3 linked regions of the Nothobranchius furzeri genome follow. The protein of the gene in region 3 purifies or fractionates together with the protein of the main gene of each other region. This does not show direct contact. Links are inferred from orthologs where the notes say so. Each region holds a gene or a part of one and is shown on either strand. Other genes may lie near its edges.

What was found.
Region 1: the proteins of pidd1 (region 3) and casp2 purify together in Homo sapiens (affinity purification with western blotting; 5 studies listed by BioGRID and IntAct, with this or other methods). This does not show direct contact. The link is inferred for Nothobranchius furzeri from reciprocal best matches to the Homo sapiens genes PIDD1 and CASP2.
Region 2: the proteins of pidd1 (region 3) and ripk1l purify together in Homo sapiens (affinity purification with western blotting; 3 studies listed by BioGRID and IntAct, with this or other methods). This does not show direct contact. The link is inferred for Nothobranchius furzeri from reciprocal best matches to the Homo sapiens genes PIDD1 and RIPK1.

The regions. Positions count from the first base shown.
Region 1 is NC_091745.1:73,503,647-73,507,308, reverse strand, and holds part of casp2 (caspase-2), read right to left. Parts: intron 3,250-3,662; coding exon 3,121-3,249; intron 3,038-3,120; coding exon 2,947-3,037; intron 1,992-2,946; coding exon 1,791-1,991; intron 1-1,790. UniProt on the Homo sapiens protein: Is a regulator of the cascade of caspases responsible for apoptosis execution. Might function by either activating some proteins required for cell death or inactivating proteins necessary for cell survival.
Region 2 is NC_091751.1:51,510,982-51,513,311, forward strand, and holds the end of ripk1l (receptor-interacting serine/threonine-protein kinase 1), read left to right. Parts: intron 1-929; coding exon 930-1,234; 3' UTR 1,235-1,686; downstream 1,687-2,330. UniProt on the Homo sapiens protein: Serine-threonine kinase which is a key regulator of TNF-mediated apoptosis, necroptosis and inflammatory pathways.
Region 3 is NC_091744.1:65,118,870-65,121,810, reverse strand, and holds the end of pidd1 (p53-induced death domain-containing protein 1), read right to left. Parts: intron 1,121-2,941; coding exon 886-1,120; 3' UTR 629-885; downstream 1-628. UniProt on the Homo sapiens protein: Component of the DNA damage/stress response pathway that functions downstream of p53/TP53 and can either promote cell survival or apoptosis.

The sequences.
Region 1 (3,662 bases), on a different chromosome or scaffold from region 3:
TTTTAACAACGGTAGTTTCTGCATCTTGCTTCAGCCTTCTCCCGCAAACTCACTGATGCGCCTGCAGCCTCTCGGCGTTCCTGCTGCTCTAAACATTAAAATAATTATTTCATTTTCTGTTCCTCACTTCTGATTACCTTCAATGGTGTCTGTTTGTTGCAACCAGCAGGTGCAAAAACTAACTTGTTTTTATTTGACTATTTTTCTGTCCTGCCTGTTTATTATCTTCCTGCATCTCCTCTCAATCCTAAAGAGAAACTGCTACCTGGGTTCATATATATTCACCTTATGAGTTACCTTTGAACTGCAGTTCTAAAAGATCTACCGACCGCAAGAACAGCGGAGTGCGCGCCGACCGCACCTGTGAGGTGCGTCACCGGAGGACAAAACAGGTGATGCGCTCCACTCCGCAGCAGCAAAACGCATCAGGCACAAATAAAAGACAGAAAACATAAAAGGAAATGAGCCGACATGAACGATCGCGTGTTTAATTTGTTTTTGAGGTGGTGACACCTAATTTGATGTTACTGTGGCCGTGCTCAGGACGCAGATGTCTGGAGCGCATCAACGATCAGAGCTCTGCATGCGCAAGCTGGTTAAGGTTAGGATGGGGTGAGGGGAATGTTAAATTGCAAGAGAGTAAATGTCACAGTTTGGTTAAATGTCCGTTTTATCGCAGGCGTCAGATACCGACGCGCTGGCACAGCGCGTCGCGTCCTAACGCGCAGGGGCTCGTCACCTGCTGTCTTTTCCGAGGACTGCATCTTGTCGGTCATTATCACGTGACAGCGACTAGTCGATGAAAGACATAAAAAGTCGCTACAGAGCAGTGAGGTCGACTAGTCGACAACCCCTAGTATGTACTCAGAGAGGTCTGGTAGAGTCGCTGGGTGGGACTTGTGTATAGCTCATGCTGACTGGATGTATTTAGGTAGGAAATGACATCAGCAGATGTAAACATTAAATGCTCTAATTTATACCGTTTGTGATCTCACAGAGCACTGTAAAAACCAGCACGTCTTCTGGTCAAAGAACGCCACTTTTTACATCACACTTCCACCCCCCCACCCCCCCAGATAGATTAAAGTAAGGCGGACTTTGACAGAATGAAACTTGTAATGTTATTAATGTCCGTGGATGCCTGTTGGCGCTGATCAGTGACGTCACTCACAACTGAAGCGGTCGCCATACGCTCATGTCTTTGCAAAGTCCTGAAACGGACCGTTTTGTACTTAGAAACAACATCTGAGAGGACGAGCCAGTGTACTTATCCTGTCACCTTCTCGACTTCCCAGAAGTTTTCCGTAACTTCTGCAGTGGAAACACGACCAAACGTGTAAGACCAAATGCACAAGTGTGGAGTAGTAAACAGAAAAAAATGCCATCAGGAATTTCCAGCACCTTTTCTTTCATTTCATTTTGAACAAATCCTGCAAAACTAATACAGGAAACAGGAAAACGTGACTAAGAAGGACATTTCCTTTGAAATAATTAATAAAATACTATCAAAGGTGTTCCAAAAGGAGCGATTTTGCTATCGCTTTAAACACGTTACTAAAACACTGCAGCAACGCCAAATCCACCGGGGGGGGGCAGCTTTTCTTGGCTTTGTTTGGAGGGAGGTGGAAGCTTAAATCATCTGCTTTTTCTAAATGCATCAAACTTTGTATTTTTTAAAATAGAAAAAGCTTTTGCTTGATTAAGTAAAACTACAGGACAGGTACATTTCAGATTTCCTGTATTACACCAATATCTTTTCATTTCTCATTACACAAAAACTCAAAACTTACAAATTCTCTGACCTTTGAGGGATGCGAAGCCACAGATCATGTCTGACCTCTGGGGCAACTTAATCCTGGGTCTCCTCATGTCCCCTATCTGAGTGGAGTCTGCATCCCCCGCTTCCTCCCTCCCAGCATCCCGCTGCTCGCAGCTTGGTGAGAGGGTCCTCCCCGGCCCGTCTATCTGCTCTACGCCACAGTCCAGCTCTTCTGAGGGACAAAAGGGACCAACGTAGCGCTCACGTTTAAATGTGACATAAAGCTGAAGTTCGTCTCATTAGAATCGAACCTTTGGATCTGTCTGAAACATCTACCTGAAATGTGCTCACAGTTATAGAATTACACTGTACTGTTCATTATGATGAAGTTTAATGAATTAGATTAGACATGCAACGTAAAAACCTGCAAGATAAAAACAGCCTTTTAGGCCTGTTAGTCCGACAGGAAGTGATCAGTGTACCCTCTGGTCCAGAGCATCATCAGGAAGAACAGGACAAAGAGATGTGACATTTTTGAGCTGAACAGCTGATGGAGGGCTGATAAAATGCTAAATAGGGATTATTAAAGCTCCTCCATAAACTGTTAAGAAATCAGGGTATCTGCAGGTTTAAGGGAGCCAAATTTAAGACTTTTTAAGACCTTTTTTACGGCCACTTTGACCAAATTTAACAGATTTTTTAAATTAAATTCAAGCTATAATTTCCTGCTATTGCCTGGAACCGGTGCAAACCACGTCGCGAACGTGGGATTAGCCATCCAGTCACCATTAAACTTGCACTTCCCCATGGCGCAAGCTCCCGCTAGCTCAACCAGCTAATGTGCTCATCTAAAAATAGCCCCCTTTCACAACCAACTGAATGTGCACGGTTCCACTTATGTTAACATCATACACAAAAAATGCTGAACACCAACTAGAAATTCATGAAAATTTTACAGAAATAACAGAATCTTGTTTATTGGGTCTTTGGTGTTTTAAGACCTTTGGAAACTCTATTTAAGGATTATTTGTCATTTTTAAGGATTTTTAAGGCCTTAAATTTGTAAAAGCTAATTTAAGACTTTTTAAGGACCCGCGGACACCCTGCAGAAGATTAACGATTAAACTTCATTCCTGCTCTGACCTGAACTGTTTACAAACACACATTTACATTATCGGTATCTTTACCTCCTCTGCAGGCCTGGATGAAAAACATCTTTGGTTTGTTTTGAAGCAGCGGACAGCGTGCGTTGTCAAAGGCCTCAAACACCCAGTCCAGCTGAAAGAGACCAAGTAATAATGTCATAAAACACATTTATTCCCTCTTAAAAGACACTTATTGATGAAAAAACCAACACTCACCTGAAGAAGCTGCCCGTCAGTACCATACACGGCTCCTTCCACTCCGTGGGAGAGCAGACACACCACACAGCTGCTCAAAGTCCGGTGCTCTGGCTTCCTGCAGAACGCCTCCATGCACTCCCTCATTTCCTGCACACAAATAAAGAGAAGTGTTGCTGAAACACACTCAGACTTAGCTAAAGGTGTTTTTGCTTTGAGCAGCAAAGCAGGTAAACCAGGCAGAACAAACAACATTTTGCTGCATCAATTCACCAACCGTACTAAAATATATACGCCCATAAAACCATCTTCAAGTTCAAGATACACAACTTACGGGCTCGACACACGGGAGGCGACAAACGACCGCGAAATTTGTCGCTGTCGCTTTTATTACCTGACACACGGGAGGTGATGCGCGGCAGCGGCCAGCGGCAAAGCCGGCAAAATCGAAACTTCTGCTGTTTTGTTTGGCTGTCAGGTTGGAGGGAATTGTCCCCCAAATTCCACTACCTCCGCTCCGGTCCGCCCCCGCCTTCCGCAGCCGCTCGCTTCCGAACTCAATT
Region 2 (2,330 bases), on a different chromosome or scaffold from region 3:
CTTTCAAATAAAAGTAGCTTCAATAAGAATCACTCATAGCAGCCATCGTGGTAGGTTTGATTTACTTGTAATCCAACAATGTGATTAAGAGAACCAAGTGAAAATTGTAAAACTTAGATGTACTGTTTCATTATCAGAACCATGTTTTCACTATTATTTAACCTTAAGCCTGATTTATACTCCTCTGCCTGCGTCAGTACGGAGATGCCATTATGCGTTGGCGCAAGGGGTGTCCCAACGGGCTCGCAGAGGGTGGCCCTATCCCAGTACTCGCAGGTTCACACTTACACCCTTCAATTGCGATCCCAGCCAGGGGTACGACTGCATAGGCTGTCAGAGTGCGGAAGTAGATTTTGCGCCCTTGATTAGCACTTCACCCAAGTCTGCATACATGTGGACTTGGGTGAAGTGTATTACCCACAACGCATTGCTGCGGAACAACATAGCTCAAGTGCCTTTTCTGAAAATATGTGTTTTCAAATGAAAGTAGTTCATATGAAATTTTATTGCCCTGTGACTGAATGAGTGCTAAGTTATGCAGCAAACGTTTTATCCGTGGACGGAAATGATGAGAAACTTGGGTTTAGAGGTGCCAATTGCATGAAGACGTGGATGAGAAATAGGGACAAATTAGTTCCCGTTAAAAAGTCTCTGAAATACATTAAAACAATATATTGTGGCATGATACCGCCAAAAATTGCTACACTTGCTGTTGTCCTGGCGGGATATTGCTTTGCAACATTCCTCAGGTGACAGAGAAGTCTGATGAGAAAACATATCGATCAATGCATGTACACAACTCCACACGAGCTAACGAGGAGTTTAAATCAGGCTTCAGTTGGGTTTCATATACTTGAGAAAGTTGTAGGCAAGAGGGATCTGGGCTTCAAAACACAGATCCTCTTCAACAAATATCTTATGTTTTTCAGAAAATCACGCTGTAAATGAGGCACACTTGGAACTGGTGAGGGCCAACATTGGGAGCAAATGGAAAATCTGTGCACGACGTCTGGGACTGTCTAATGTAGAAATAGACACCATAGATCATGACTACCACCGTGATGGCCTTGCAGAGTATGTCCACCAGATGCTGGAATCATGGAAAATGAAGACGGGATCTATTGGCTGTACGGTTGGGAAGCTTTGTCGCGCTCTAGACGGGATCATCGAGGTAGATGTCATCTTGAAAATGCTGGAATTGTGCAGTTGCTCTTCTTCCTTTGAAGCTCAGTAATGGGCACATTTTCAGAATTCACTTCAAACATCTGAAGCTCAGTTCAACTGACTTAAAAAAAACTCATGTATTTTTTTTTATTAATCAGATCTAATTTCTTGGGTACTGTCGATAATAAGGGCCTCCCTGTAACAGTAAAAAGTATTGATTTATTTCTTATTGTGATTTTCAACAAGCTGAAACTGCATTTTTATTTGATTTATTGACAGTTTTTCCTACAGCCTACACTGATGAGCGATCAGACACCATCGATTTGTCATGAAATTTCAAATTTTGCACTTATAATAGTCACTGTTAAGGATCATGATATGTTTTAGGTCGAATAATTATTTTCTTACTAAAGTTTTTATATAATCAAGGTGTTTGTCCCTTCAATTTTCTTCCTGAAAAGAGTCATAATGGAAAAGTCGCTCCATGTATTATGAAGGTTAGTTCACAAATATAAACCTACAAGTGGACCCATTAAGATTTCTGCAGAAAAATGGGGCAAAAACATAAAAAATGTATTTTATATCAGGAATTTTAATATATGTGTGAACCCTGTGGAGACAATGCTTTTTGGTCCATCTTGTATTTCAGGCTTGTTGCACATTTTATATATTCATGAATGTTATCTGTAAATTAAATTGTTTATGTACTTTTTTTACCTGCCCAGGTTTAAATGTTCAGTTTAGGACTGTAAAAATTGCATGTTTATTTGATAAGTTGCTGTTACTGTACCATATTAAGCATTTTGAATCACTGTTTTATCCCTAAGTGCTTTAAAGCTGTTTTATGCTATGCTTCTGTCCTCTGAAGCTTTTAAATTCACACTTGGTTTAGGGTACTTGCTCGTATTGTTCTGTAGTATATTTGCTTATGGAATTCCAAGCAAGTTCTCCCTCTATGATTTTACATACCACTGGGATTGTGACATTTACAATAAATTGTTTACATATTTTTAAAGTTGTTTGTGTTTGTTCTTCGTATCCATTTTTGCACAAAGCTTGAGTTTAATATGATGCAAACTGGCTGCATCTAAAATAGAGAAATGTTTTAAAATGTGGTTAGACAGAATATGTTTAGAATAAAAAGTAAGTGCAAATGTTTAAACATC
Region 3 (2,941 bases):
CCAGATTCTTAACAAATGCATCTCCCGTTATGTACATACCAGAGTCGCTTCCGCTGTTTCCTTGTGGGTGAATGAGAGGTGAAATCTGATGTTACACTCTGTACCTTTGGCTGAAAGAGCGACAGTAGATAACCCGCTGAGAAGGTGGGAGTGAATGCAAGCCGGGAGGTAGGCAGGAAAGGGAGGAAGGGAGGGGGAGAGGTCTGGATGCAAACGGGAGTAGCGGAGGATGGATTTCAAATACGCCCCCTAGCGGTGGGTAGTGGAAGTACGGCCAAACACGCGTCACCGTGACGTCACGTCGAAACACAATGACCTTGGACGTAAAAAGCGAAGAAAAAAACTGCAAGAGGTGTAATATTGGATTAAAGGTAAACATGCACAAATAAAACAGCACAAATCTCTGAATCAGTCGATTAACTGGATTTATACATCAAGTCTGAGGTTCCTTCCTGTAAGAAAATTAAAACCTATACGTTTAAAATCACCTAAAAAAATATATCAGACTAGGTTTGATGAGTGAATGCTTAATCAGCTCTGATTTATCATTTATTATATAATTTTTCAATTTTTTTTTTCAAAAATTTCCCCAAAAATGCTTTATTTAAATAAACTACATTTCAGTCAATTTCACTATTGGATGTTTTTACTAGCAGAACCTTTCTCCAGGCAGAATTAACTTAGATTAAGTTGCTTTACATAATACAAAAAGTGCCAAAAAGGACGAGGTCATAGTTCATTGTGCAGTTACTGCATGTTGCTTTCCCTTGTTTAGATAAAAGTAGGACTGGTGGGTGACTGGCTGTCACATCTGTGTCCCACTAGAGGAGAAATGATGGGGGTCGATGTAAACAAACAGCCTCCTGTGCCCCAGTGGAGGCTCATCTACTGCTGCACCTCCTCAAGAGAGGAGCCCTCTGCTTCCAGGCCAACTCTCTTCAGAGAATCGGAGTACTTTTTCCTTCCTAAATTCACAATGTCCTCAATCTCGTCTGCCAGGTCTCTCCGTCCGCTTTCTATCATGGCAGCCACGAGCCTTGATGCTGCCCCAGGTCCTGCATTCCTCTGTCCCCGAGCCCAGAGAAACAGCATGTCCAGCACTAAGGCACCCAGGTTGTCCCTGGTGAGCAGAAACACACACGAAATGTTACTTTATTTGCAGCTGACTGACTGGAAAAGGGACTAATGTAAAATGCACCACATTAACCTTTTGTGGGTATGAACATGCATCATTCTATGCAGGTGACTCAGTTATTTCGGAAGAAATGCCAAACATCTATCAAAAATCTATACTCAATATTATACATCTTGATATTATCTATAAACCTTATACTAATGCATAAATATGTGGTTTTGTACTATATATTTTACTCCACCTGCAGAATGTGTCATGATGAGAGGTTTATTTTAGCTTGGGAGAAGGGGGGAGGGCCAGATGAGCAACAGTCTGTGTAATCTCCTGCAGTGTCCCAGATGGCTCAGAGATGGCTGACAGTGCACATTAAAACAATCAAAATTCTCTCCTGTTTTTCTTCCACTGTGTTTTCTTTTCCTCAAGCAACAGACAAGGGATTTCACTTCAGTCCCACTGAAGTTTTCACTTTGTGCACTGATGACACCATTCAGTCATGCAGAAAATGAATATTGTATCTACTTTTCTGCAGCAACTGTAGTGACTTCAGGCAGAAAGGATGCTGTCTCCATTGTCACAGACCTAATTACATTGATTAAACACTTAAAGAGCAAGTCACCCCCTGCCATATTCTTACTCAACTCCCACTTCCTGTTTGAAAAATGCAACAAATGCTGTTGCCTAGCAGACCGAGAAGGCGGAGCCTCTAACAAATACACACTCACAACATTGTGACATCATAATATACCATCTAACATCATAGTGTACCTCTTAGCCAATAGCGATGGCAGATTTAAATTCAAATGCAGTGCTGAGTTTTTGCCTGACGACAGTGCATCTCTGACAGTTTTAGGCAGAATAATTAAATTTTAACTAAGATGCACTAAAGTGCCGAATTATTGACTACATTTGTCTACAGCACAATCGGACACTCATTTATATAGTTTATCAGCAAAAAAAATGGTGATTTGGAGTGACTTGCTCTTTAAGCTTTTTGCAGTTACAGAGGATTTTAAAAAAGGTTTTAAACTGCAATTATATTGTAATTTTGAATAAGGATTTTTGAAAGAAAAAAATGTTTCAGAATGAAAAATTTTCTTTAAACAAAGATCAGATACAACTTTAAAGCTCAAATGAGATGCGAAAACCTTTTAACAGAAAGTGCGTCCTGGAGATTAACAGATTTGTTGTGTATCTTCTATTTCAACGAATTTAGACCAAACACACACACACCTTAGATAAAACACTTCTCCTGACACTCCAGGAAATTACCAGGATTTTTAAAAGATTGCACAAAAAAGTTCCTAAATTAGCCTTCTAACTGTCCAGTTCAAACATCTGCAGGATGTGTTGGGACAAGCTGCAGCTACAAACCTGCAGCCCGCATACCCAAGATAATTATGGAGCTAGGATTGGGACAATATTACATGTAACTGTAAGGATCTGCTCCAACCCTCTGACTCTTGGTCTCGTTTCCCCTTAATTAGTTGTTTATTGGACTCACCTGCCCCTTGTTAACCTACCCATGTGTTCCTGATTATGCTTGTGTATTTATACCTGTTTTAGACTTGTCCTTTGTCAGATCATTGCAGTGTTACATTGCTCCCGTTTGGATCATCCTACCTGCCATTATTCATTAAATCCATTTTTTTTTTGCCTGACCTGCCATTCCTGCTTCCTGGTCCAGCTCCACAACACATGGGTCCACCACCATCTCCACTGCATCGTGACAGTAACTTGTACCAAATTAGAGTTGAGACCAAATGTTTTATACATGTAAACTTGAGTTTTGTAACTGTAGACTGAGAT